Linked DNA regions of Schizosaccharomyces pombe. Changing the gene in region 1 together with any one later gene gives a genetic interaction. Each region holds a gene or a part of one and is shown on either strand. Other genes may lie near its edges.

What was found.
Region 2: mutations in sfp1 (region 1) and gsk3 together harm fitness more than expected from each alone (negative genetic interaction), as found in Schizosaccharomyces pombe (2 studies listed by BioGRID).

The regions. Positions count from the first base shown.
Region 1 is NC_003424.3:4,431,270-4,436,664, forward strand, and holds sfp1 (transcription factor Sfp1), read right to left. Parts: upstream 3,245-5,395; 5' UTR 2,364-3,244; coding exon 1,035-2,363; 3' UTR 600-1,034; downstream 1-599. Other genes in the region: tRNA dihydrouridine synthase Dus3, read left to right, coding at 1-316; SPOM_SPAC9E9.01 (uncharacterized protein), read left to right, coding at 3,592-3,628, 3,670-3,932; SPOM_SPAC9E9.02 (uncharacterized protein), read right to left, coding at 4,348-4,644.
Region 2 is NC_003424.3:927,956-933,011, forward strand, and holds gsk3 (serine/threonine protein kinase Gsk3), read left to right. Parts: upstream 1-1,875; 5' UTR 1,876-1,983; coding exon 1,984-2,002; exon of another isoform or gene 2,003-2,050; coding exon 2,051-2,241; intron 2,242-2,722; coding exon 2,723-3,676; 3' UTR 3,677-4,242; downstream 4,243-5,056. Other genes in the region: SPOM_SPAC1687.14C (calcium-binding protein), read right to left, coding at 258-488; SPOM_SPAC1687.23C (uncharacterized protein), read right to left, coding at 1,204-1,518. UniProt on the Schizosaccharomyces pombe protein: Interacts with cdc14 which is thought to play a role in the initiation and completion of mitosis. Involved in the positive regulation of mis12.

The DNA.
Region 1 (5,395 bases):
GGAACAATACTGTAATAATGGTTTAGAGTATTGGGGTTCTGACTCTCAAGGAGTCAATACGACTAGGAGATTTTTCTTGGAGTTTATGAGCTTTTTCCATCGTTATACACCTATAGCTTTGTACGAAGTTCAAAGGCCCAGATTAAATGATAGACCGCCTCTATATACCGCGAGAGATGAGATGGAAACTCTCTTGGCCAGTAATAAAGTTACGGACTGGGTTAAATTGAGTGAGTTCTTCCTAGGTCCTACTCCTGAGCGATTCACCTTTACACCAAAGCACAAAAGCAATAGTGTGGAAGAGGCAGAGGGATAAACAACTTATGGTCTTAGTGTATCGAGCATTCACTTTCTTCATATGCATCATCAACTTTTCATACTTAATACTGGCTTATCATCTGGATTGAATTAAGTAGATTAATAAAATATCTGGTGACTTATATACGAGTGATCTGTGTTTGTCTCGTAAAATGCGCAAATGACTAGGCAAATTGGTAATGAATCTAACGTTATATAGTCAACTTACCCAATGGGAACTAACCAACGATCTTACAGTACTCTACAATTACTATCGAAACTACGTTGTGAAATAACTTAGCAAATATATGGTAAATAACACTGCCATACATATTTATTAACTTAAAAGGTATAATAATAACAGCAAGAGGATATTTGGTACAAAAATAACTTAATACACAATAAAAACCATTAAAAATCCAGAATCCCAAAATGACAAAACAAAAAATTAAAAAACAAAAAAAAAGCAAACAAAACAAACACAGCCATCATGTAGGTAATAAAGTAAGTGCAAAATTAACGGGAATGAATCAAAGGAGACAGGTTCACTTTACAGCTAATTCGATTGTTGTATGCAGATAAATGCAAGCCCGTAAACATCAAGCAAACTCCACACAACATGTCTACCCTTCTCAAACTTAAAAGCAAAGATAGACATAAAAGTATTCAAACTTGAAGATACGAAACTGAGATACAAATCTCATGTTCAAATATTACAAAGGCAAAAAAGAGCATATTTATGCGGTGCGCATAAAGTTCATTTGAACTTCCCGTTGAGCTTGGGCCATAGACACTTGTAGATGACTATGTGTACGATGATATTTCAAACCGTTTAAGTTTTTATATCTTTTACTACAAACTTCACAGCGATAAGGCTTGTTTTCCACAACAAACCCTTGATGAGGAATTGGAGCTGGTGTTGGAGTAGTAATGGGGGAACAGTGTCCATGAAGTTTGTGATACTTCAAACCATTTTGATTCTTATAAGCCTTATCACAATTAGGGACAGGGCATTTGTATGGCTTGTCTACAACCACCAAGTTAGAGCCTGGGTAATCAATAGTGAGCGGTGAATCGTGTGAGAATGCAGGAGTAGAACGCTGCTTTTTAGATGGCTTAGCTTCCAAATCACTAGAAGATTTCCTAACAAATGGGGATGAGATTGCTGAGTTTGTGGCTGCGGGTGAAACTACTTCAGGAGTAGGAGACATGCTAGACTCTGTGAATTGATCGGCGGATGCGACAGATGGAGCAAATGAAAAAACATCGTGATCGTAATTGAATGGGGGAAGATATGTAGAGTCAACCATGTCCTTTTGATTGAACGCAAAAACATTATTGGCAGCGGACTCACCAACGTCAATAGACATGCTCATGTCACTGAGAGGGGAGCTTGCATCCATTACCAATGATTCAGGCATCTTTTTCGGGGTACCAGTTGTCTCTGCTTGACTACTGGCCTCGTCACTGCTCATGTCGGAGCTGGCAGCGGCAGCAGCAGCAGCAGCAGCGGCAGGTACGACAACGGAAACGCGGTAAGGGCCAGGAGCACCACCGTTAGCAGGAAAGGCAAATGGTAAAACAGCAGAATTATCAGAAATTTCAGAAGTTCCAAGCTGATCAGCAAGATCATGCATACGGATGCGCTCACGCTGTTTGAGCGCTTGAATATGAGAATGATTAGATTGAGCAGCGTTGTTGCTATCCAAAGAATATTCTTGAGGAACAGCAGAATCAGTTGCCAGAACGGCGTGCTGCTCTTCATAATGGTGAATAAGTTGATGCAAATCTTCGAGAGTTTGACCACAGCAGCGGAAATCACGGCAAAATGCTTCTTCTAACCGGTTTAGATAAGAGGTAGAATCCTCTTCGGGAATCGTTTGTGACTCAACCACGTTAGAAAGAGATGGAATAGTATCACGAAGCCAAGCTTGTCCACTAAAGCTATTTCCCCAAGACTGTGGACTCATTCCAAAAGAGGTAGCATGAATGCTGTTAAAGGAATTTCCGTTGTAGTTGACATTGTGATGGGAAGGCTTATTGATAGGCAATGCGAGAGATGGCATATTGAAAAGTTTTTAAGGGAATTAATAAAATTAAAGAGATAAAAGAGAAAATTAAAAGATAAACCGATAAATAGAAACCAAATTAAAAATTATATACCAATGATGAAAAAATAGAATAAAAATAACAAAATAATTTAGTAAGTTATTTTTTGAGAAATCAGGGAATAATGCACTTAGAAAACTCGACTTAAGGAAGGCAAGTTCTTAGAGAGCGCTGAGAGGGGTAAAAAAAGGCAATTAAAAAAAGACTGAATGTAAAATCTAATGAAATTCGACGAACTATAAATTCGAAAAAAAAAGGAAAAAGTTTCTAAAAGAAGAATTTACCAAGCAAAAAAATGAAGGTAAACTATTTTTAAGCACTAAATTACCCAAGTGTAATTAGTGTATTGTAATGTTTTAAGTGGAAACCCCAAAGTGACTTATCTAATTTTTTCAGTCTAAACAAATTGGCGATTAACGGATGATAAATGTATAATATAAATAAGATGAAAAGAAAGGGAGTAAAAACCTTTTAAAGAATCCTTTTTAATCAACAAAGAAAGTCAAGTAATAACGAATCGAGTCGAGGAAACTGTTCGATTCGACTTTTTTTTAAAATAAAGCGAAATAGTAAATAATTTACGCTTTGATTCAATGAACAATCGAGATCAATCGAAAAGAGTGGTGATACTTCAAAAGAGTAATCTTTTTTTTGCAGGCAACTAGTGGACGCAATATATGTTGCAAGCGAATTTTTTTTATAAATATGTTTAATTTTTTTTAAGTTGAATATATGGTATTCAACAACAATTCTATGATTGTACTAACTCCCTTAAGTTAAGTAAGTATATTTGCTTCTGCTTCCTTCGTGTCGTCCTCACGTTGAAGTTAGTCAGAATAAGGCGTTAAGAAGGGTAGGACGGTGTTTAAGTAGTAATTGATAAGGTGATTTAGCAAGCCTTCTCGTTACGTATGTATAAAGGTAACAAGGATAAAAGGGTCAAGTAACAGTGACGCCGACTATGCGAGCGAATAACAGTGAAGCTTTCAGACTTAAACACCTAATGAGGGGCCCTTAAATATAAGAAAGCCAATCAGAGTACACAGAGTGGATCGAACTTGGATCAAAGTAATTAGGGGTAACAATGCAACTTCGTCAGTGCCGTATCGGAAGGTCGTTACTTCCAATAGATGGGGCCGAAGACAAGGGGCGAATAGTTTCTAGACAAAGGGTCGCAAATGAACGATGGCGGATGGCTTGGAGCTCAGTGCAGAATTAAGCGGTACGCAGCTTAGCGTTATAGTGTCCTAATATACGGTCAAGTGCACACGGGTACAGTAACACACACAATCTTTGTTTATGTGTTTCTCGGAAAATCGAAGCGGCTAAAAACGTTTAGCGATTCAAATGTTGGTTCGGTAATCAAACTTGAGGCAGGGTTCGCAGTCTGGTCACGTTGTGAAGCAGCTAATGGGGAATGGATGGAGGCAGACAATGAAGATCGTTGTCGGTTATACCAAATTTACCGGGAAAGCAAACTCAAGGAATTTGCGAGATACAATGTCCTTTCAAGGGTTAATTGGTAAAGTAAACGACTATGAAATGAAAGAAATATCGTCGTTTAATTGAAATGGAGGAAGGATATTTCTCTTCTTTGTGCTAGTAAAGAGAAGACGGATATTTTTGGAAGAGATGTAAAAAGACAAGCAAACAAGAAAATGAAAATGGACGTCTAGCGATTTTACAAGAAAAAATTAGACGGGAAAAGGGAAAAGAAAAACTAAAGCTTATAGGAAATGGAGCTAAAAAAATATCTAGATAGAATAGCTTGCGAATGAAGAAAAAAACAAACTATCGTACAAGATAAACCAAATATATAAACCTTACAACAACCCAAAAGAAAATGATTGAAAGTAAGGTGAAGATCAGTAACTAACAAAGGAACAGAATGGAATAACAAGTATATAACTAAGTAAATAAATAAATAAAGAATCGGTATTATCACAGATAAATGAAAAGATAATACACACAACGATGAAGAGAATATAAAAAAAAAATTGTTTCGTTAGAATCAAAGGAAGTTTTTAACAGAACGGAGTTTTTTATTTTTTTTCGTAACCAAAAAAGACTTTTAGAAAAATTGCAAGGATTTAGAGCAATACTGATGATTTCATACAAACGATTGGAGAATGGGATGTATTGTATTGAAACCAATGAACTGAATCGAATCGTTAAGAGGAAATTTTTTTTTAATAAACAATGCAGTTTGTGTTTGGCATTAGCGAAATCCACATCCATTATATAGAAATGGAAAGTCAACGTCAAATGTCCAATCTATCAATTCTTCGTTTTCTTCCAGAAACTCTTAAGCATCATTTTCATTATTTAACAATCCCATCATTTGTCCACATATCCACCACACTTAGGTCAGTAGTTGAAAAGATGAAATTCGCAGGCATCACACTCAATACCAAAGGCAATGAATTTACAACGTTTTAATTACATTTCTCAGCAATCTTCTAGGGTTCTGGCCATTGGATAGTTTATGATGCTTCTATATCAAACACACTCTACCATGATGTCAAGGGCGCTGGCGCTATGGCAAGCGAAGGGATATGAACAAGGACCAAGATAAAAGTGATTCTGACTTGGTTCATGAATGAAAAACTACAGACAATTTGATAGGATTAATAATTGAAGAAAACGATAAAGAAATTCATACATCCCAAGGAGTAATCTATCGTCTATGAGAAAAAAATGAAAAAATGACATTAGTAAACAAGTGTCAAGAGAGTATGGGTCAACAACATCAAAACGACATTGTCGCATACAATTCAAGTGAGACAGATTCAATTCTTCCTATACGCAACCAATTCCCGAAGGTATTCTTTAAAGAAAAAAAAAATAAGTAAAATTGAAATTGAAATTGAGCCAATTGCTATGCATCTATTATGACAAATAAGAATTGCAAGACTGTATCGCAAAACACCGTTAAAATAATCAACATTGCCGTGTTTTATCCAACTTTTCCAAATTCCATCCGTCTAGT
Region 2 (5,056 bases), 3.5 Mb from region 1:
TCAATAAATCAAGGTTTACGAAAGAATGTAGATTCTAGTATTGTTGTTCAAGCAGGCTGTGACACTTATCTTTAGCATCAATTGTAACCTACAACCAAGTATATAAAACAGGCATCTATGGCTTGAAAACAAAAAGAAAACACGAGGAAATATTGTTTAATCTTTTTTAGTACACTAAGTCCATCATCATTAAGTCATTAAAGTGCGAGAATGAATCCCATAAATAAAATGAAGTTTGTCTCCATTGATAAACAATCTCAAGATATATGAATCCACAATTCGGCAAATTCTTCACGCGATACTTTACCATTAGTGCCAGCTAAATCGAGCATCAACTGAAGCTGTTCTTTAGTCAAATTTTCCCCTAGTTGAGCGCAAGATCTTCGAAGGTCTTCAAAGTCAATGTACCCTTTGTGTGTCACGTCAAAAAGATCAAAAGCCTCTTCTGCTTCTTCATCCATTTCAAGACGTTTAGTACTGACAGACATGGTTCCCCTAAACTAAAAAACTATTCAACAAGGAAACGCAAATGCAAACAAATGAGATAGTGCCAAAAATGCTAAAATGAACGAAATAACAGTAAAAAAAAAGAAAGGAATGAAAATCAGCGTCCGATGGCTAGAAGAGATATAATTTGTTCAACAGTTATCAAAAAAAGACTAGAAGTGAGTTAAAAATCCAAACGAAAAGACAAGGAGGAATAATATGAACAGATAGACAATCAAAAGTGGAATAACTGCGTTTAAATACTAAGTAATCAGGCTATTTGATGCAATTTGAAGGTGGTACAAATGGAAATTTCGTGGTGCGATAAAGTGGACGAAACTTGACCTTAATGAATATATGGTATAAAAACGTTAAGCTGAATTTTTTTTTCTAAAACTGCCAAATCAACAAGGATATTGAAGAGACAGTTGGAAATCTCAAAATTTATGTATAAAATGTGTTCAATTGACTTTATTTACGTGCCAAGCCAACCTACTAAGGCGTTATTAGCTAATATAATAAATTGACCGAAGCTAAGGTTGTGCGCAATATTTAAATAACAAAACACGTAATACAAGATTTTTGATGAGTTAATAGATCGACTTGCAAAATGGCTTTAATGATGTAGGCTATCAAGCATAATCTCCTTTAGCGGTGTGGCATACTAATACTCGTGTTATATATTATATATGAATGTTTGACATTATTTATACACATTCATTTTTTAAGGATTCTTACTTTGTTTATGTATTTTTTAACATATTTGAGATGCTTCTGAGACATTGGTTCGCTCTCTGATTTCGTAGTTTTTCCATTTTTTCCTTTGAGACAGGGAGGGATACGCGATTTGCATATGCTAGTATAAATTTGTCTCCCTGTGAATGTTCCATTATTTACTGTATATGAATTGCGACAGCAGTTGCTACTGAAAGGTAGGAGCACAATTCTGATGGCATTTGAAAAGTCAAACTTCCTACTAGATTTTATGTGAATTATTTTAAAAAATATGTTTTTCTTTTCTAAAATCCACATCGAATTCAGTGTTTGCTCTAGCAGTTTCAAAGTATATCACTCTAAATTCGGTAACACTATTCAATATAACGGACTGGAGGAATTAAAACTCACAATGTGATAATCGCGTATACGTAAGATGGTTAATAACCATGAATTCAATTTCTCAAGCACGAATTTTTCATTAATATACGTACTTTTTTATGGTTATTGTAATAAATAAGAGGAAAGAATGAACCCTCTTTTCTTTGATACTTGCGCCGAGAGTTTACAGTTTTATGATTTGCTCATGTCCCGTAATGTTACCTCTTAGAAGTACGCACTTTGTATCATGCTACTATACCCCAGAGATTATTCTATGGTAGAACTTCCTCCACTACCACAACCCGTACTCCACGTTCATCACGCCAAGAAAACCTCCTTTTTAAGTCCTCTGATAGCTTTTTTTTCATTTTGTAATTTAACATTTCTGTATCATCATCCATAATGAATCATGGTACTAAAAGTAAGTTGGCTAACTTCGATAGTGCTGTTGTTCTAACCGTATAAATAGTTCCTGTGGACCCCTTTCGTATTATAAAGGAAACCGCTCGTGATGGGTCAACGGGAGAGGTGAAGCAACTTTCTTACACTTCGAGTAAAGTTGTGGGCTCTGGAAGCTTTGGCGTGGTCATGCAGGTTCATTTAATTGAATCAGACAGCAAAGCCGCTATAAAACGCGTTTTGCAAGATAAACGGTTTAAGGTATGTATTTTTATTGAATGCAAAATGCGAAAGGAAGGGTTAGATTTTACTTTATTTTTCTGTGAAAACCGCACACTTTTGTTTACGCTGAAGATACGTAGCGCGCGTGCTTCGTCAATATACGTAAGATTCATTTACAAAAGATTGGTCGTCTACATGCCATAAATGGTAAGAGAGTAGTGTTATTAAAACATTACTTGCTTTTGTGCTTTCTCTTCTTTGAAGTGTCCACAGGCTTACCATACCTGTTGTCATGAAATTGTACAACTCAAATGCCTATTGCTTTTTTTTTGCATCCATTGTACGATACACAAGCTTTTTTTAGCCAGTATTTGGATGCGTTGAAAATTTAGTGTATTCGTTTTGAACATATTTTTCCTTTTTCCCTCCTCCATTTTTTGCACTTCTTTCTAGATTTATAAAAAAACTCAGTATTATAAATCTTCTCCAATGAACCTTTGTTTCTAACACTTAATTTTAGAATAGGGAGTTACAAATTATGCGAATTATGAAGCATCCAAATATTGTCGATTTAATTGCCTACTATTATACCACCGGTGATAATTCCGATGAAGTCTATCTAAATTTGGTTCTAGAGTTTATGCCTGAAACGATTTATCGTGCTTCTCGTCTATATACTCGTCAAAAACTTTCTATGCCAATGCTGGAAGTCAAATTGTATATATATCAGCTTTTGCGTTCTTTAGCCTACATTCATGCTAGCGGTATTTGCCATCGTGATATCAAACCTCAAAATCTACTATTAGATCCGGAAAACGGAATATTAAAGCTTTGTGATTTTGGTAGCGCAAAAATCTTGGTTGCTGGTGAACCAAATGTCTCTTATATATGTTCTCGTTATTATCGAGCTCCAGAATTGATTTTTGGAGCTACTGATTATACTCACGCTATTGACATCTGGTCTACTGGATGCGTGATGGCTGAGCTTATGCTTGGACATCCTCTTTTTCCCGGTGAAAGTGGCATTGATCAGTTGGTAGAGATTATCAAAATTCTCGGTACTCCTAGTCGAGAACAAATAAAGACTATGAATCCTAATTATATGGAACATCGATTCCCACAAATACGTCCACAGCCTCTTTCACGAGTGTTTTCTCGAAGTGTTCCCCTTGATGCATTGGATCTCTTATCAAAAATGCTTCAATATACACCTACTGATCGCCTTACTGCTGCTGAGGCAATGTGCCATCCCTTTTTTGATGAGCTTCGGGATCCTAATACTAAGCTTCATAACTCTCGTAATCCCGATGCTTCTCCTCGTCATTTACCCGAATTGTTTAATTTTTCCCCCTTCGAACTATCCATTCGTCCTGACCTTAACCAAAAACTAATTCCGTCCCATGCTCGCGATGCTTTACCCGTGAAACTTGATGATTTTGTTCCAATTCCAATTCATCGTGCCCGAATTGATTAAATGTAACGGGTATATGCATTCATCTTCTAAAGTTCTTGTATATCCATTTTTGCCACCAAACTTATTTTACTTCTTTGTTGTATTACGCATTAATATAGCCAGTGAATCTGCCTTGTTGTGCGTACATATACCAATCGCTATCTATACTGATTCTACAATGGTCTACTTGTGTGGATATTCTTTTCGTTCACTTTTTTTTTGTCGTTATTGGTGTTGAATAAATCAAACCTGAATTTTGTTTTGATGAGAACTAAATTTTTTCGATCACGATTATTTTCTTAATTGTTATTTTAGGAGTCATAAGTAGACCATCTTAGTTTGCTGAAAGTTTTTCAGCGACTTTAAAACTTTAATTGGATGAGAAATGTAATCGGTAATTCTTTCATTCTGGAAAGTATACTGCAGAATCTCATATATACATATATATCATAATTCTTATACTAGTAAAATGTTTGTGATTGATTCAATTAATATTTTATGGTTAGGTTTCAAAAGAATGTTTTGTTTTTATTATTGTTTAATTCATTTTTTTGTCCTCATTAAAAATTCTTTTGGTAGAGTCATTACTAAGTTTTTGCTTCGTAGACTACATGAAAGAAGCTGGTGAGGCGAAGTAATATTATGATTCAATACTACCTAAGATATAGCAAACATCAAAAGGGTACAAAATTCTAGGAAATCATCTGGCAACGTTAGATATCAATATGTAAATAGAAATAGAAAAACATGTAAATCTAATTACATACTAAGTCAATAAATGGAAAGGAGTCTGGTAATTTTTGATTAATTAGCAGTGGTTTACAAACGAATAGTTACTAGTTATTGCAAATCAAAATTAGTGTCGATGACATGTGTAAGCTTGACATTCATTTTATTTCAAAATAGAAAAGTAAAGATAAGAGCAAAATTTTCATTTCGTATACGAAACTAGCAAACAACTACAACGACGTGAACAGCAAAAACGAGTGTATTTGAAGTAAATTATTTGTGAGATGATAGTACCAATCAACCCAACTGAACAAACAACGTTTCAAAAGGGAGGTGGTAAGAAATTGCAAAGCAAAAAAAACAAGTCATTTGAAAAGAAAGGAGTGAATGACTAGATGCGAGACTTCCAAATTTTCTGGATTTATCGTTCTAAAAGAATAAACCGAAAAAAAACAAACTTGGGAATGCTAAAGAGACTCGAAATGTAAATTAGCAAAAAGTTTGCAAAGGATATATAAAATCGCTCACATTGTTCCTTTATAGCAACTGAAGGTAGAGCGGGTAAATAATGCATGTAATACCAACCATAGAAATAGAAATACGTGACCAAAAGAGTAAAACCAACGGGGAAAAATGAAATGGGAATGATGAAAACGAAAAAAAAAAGTAAAA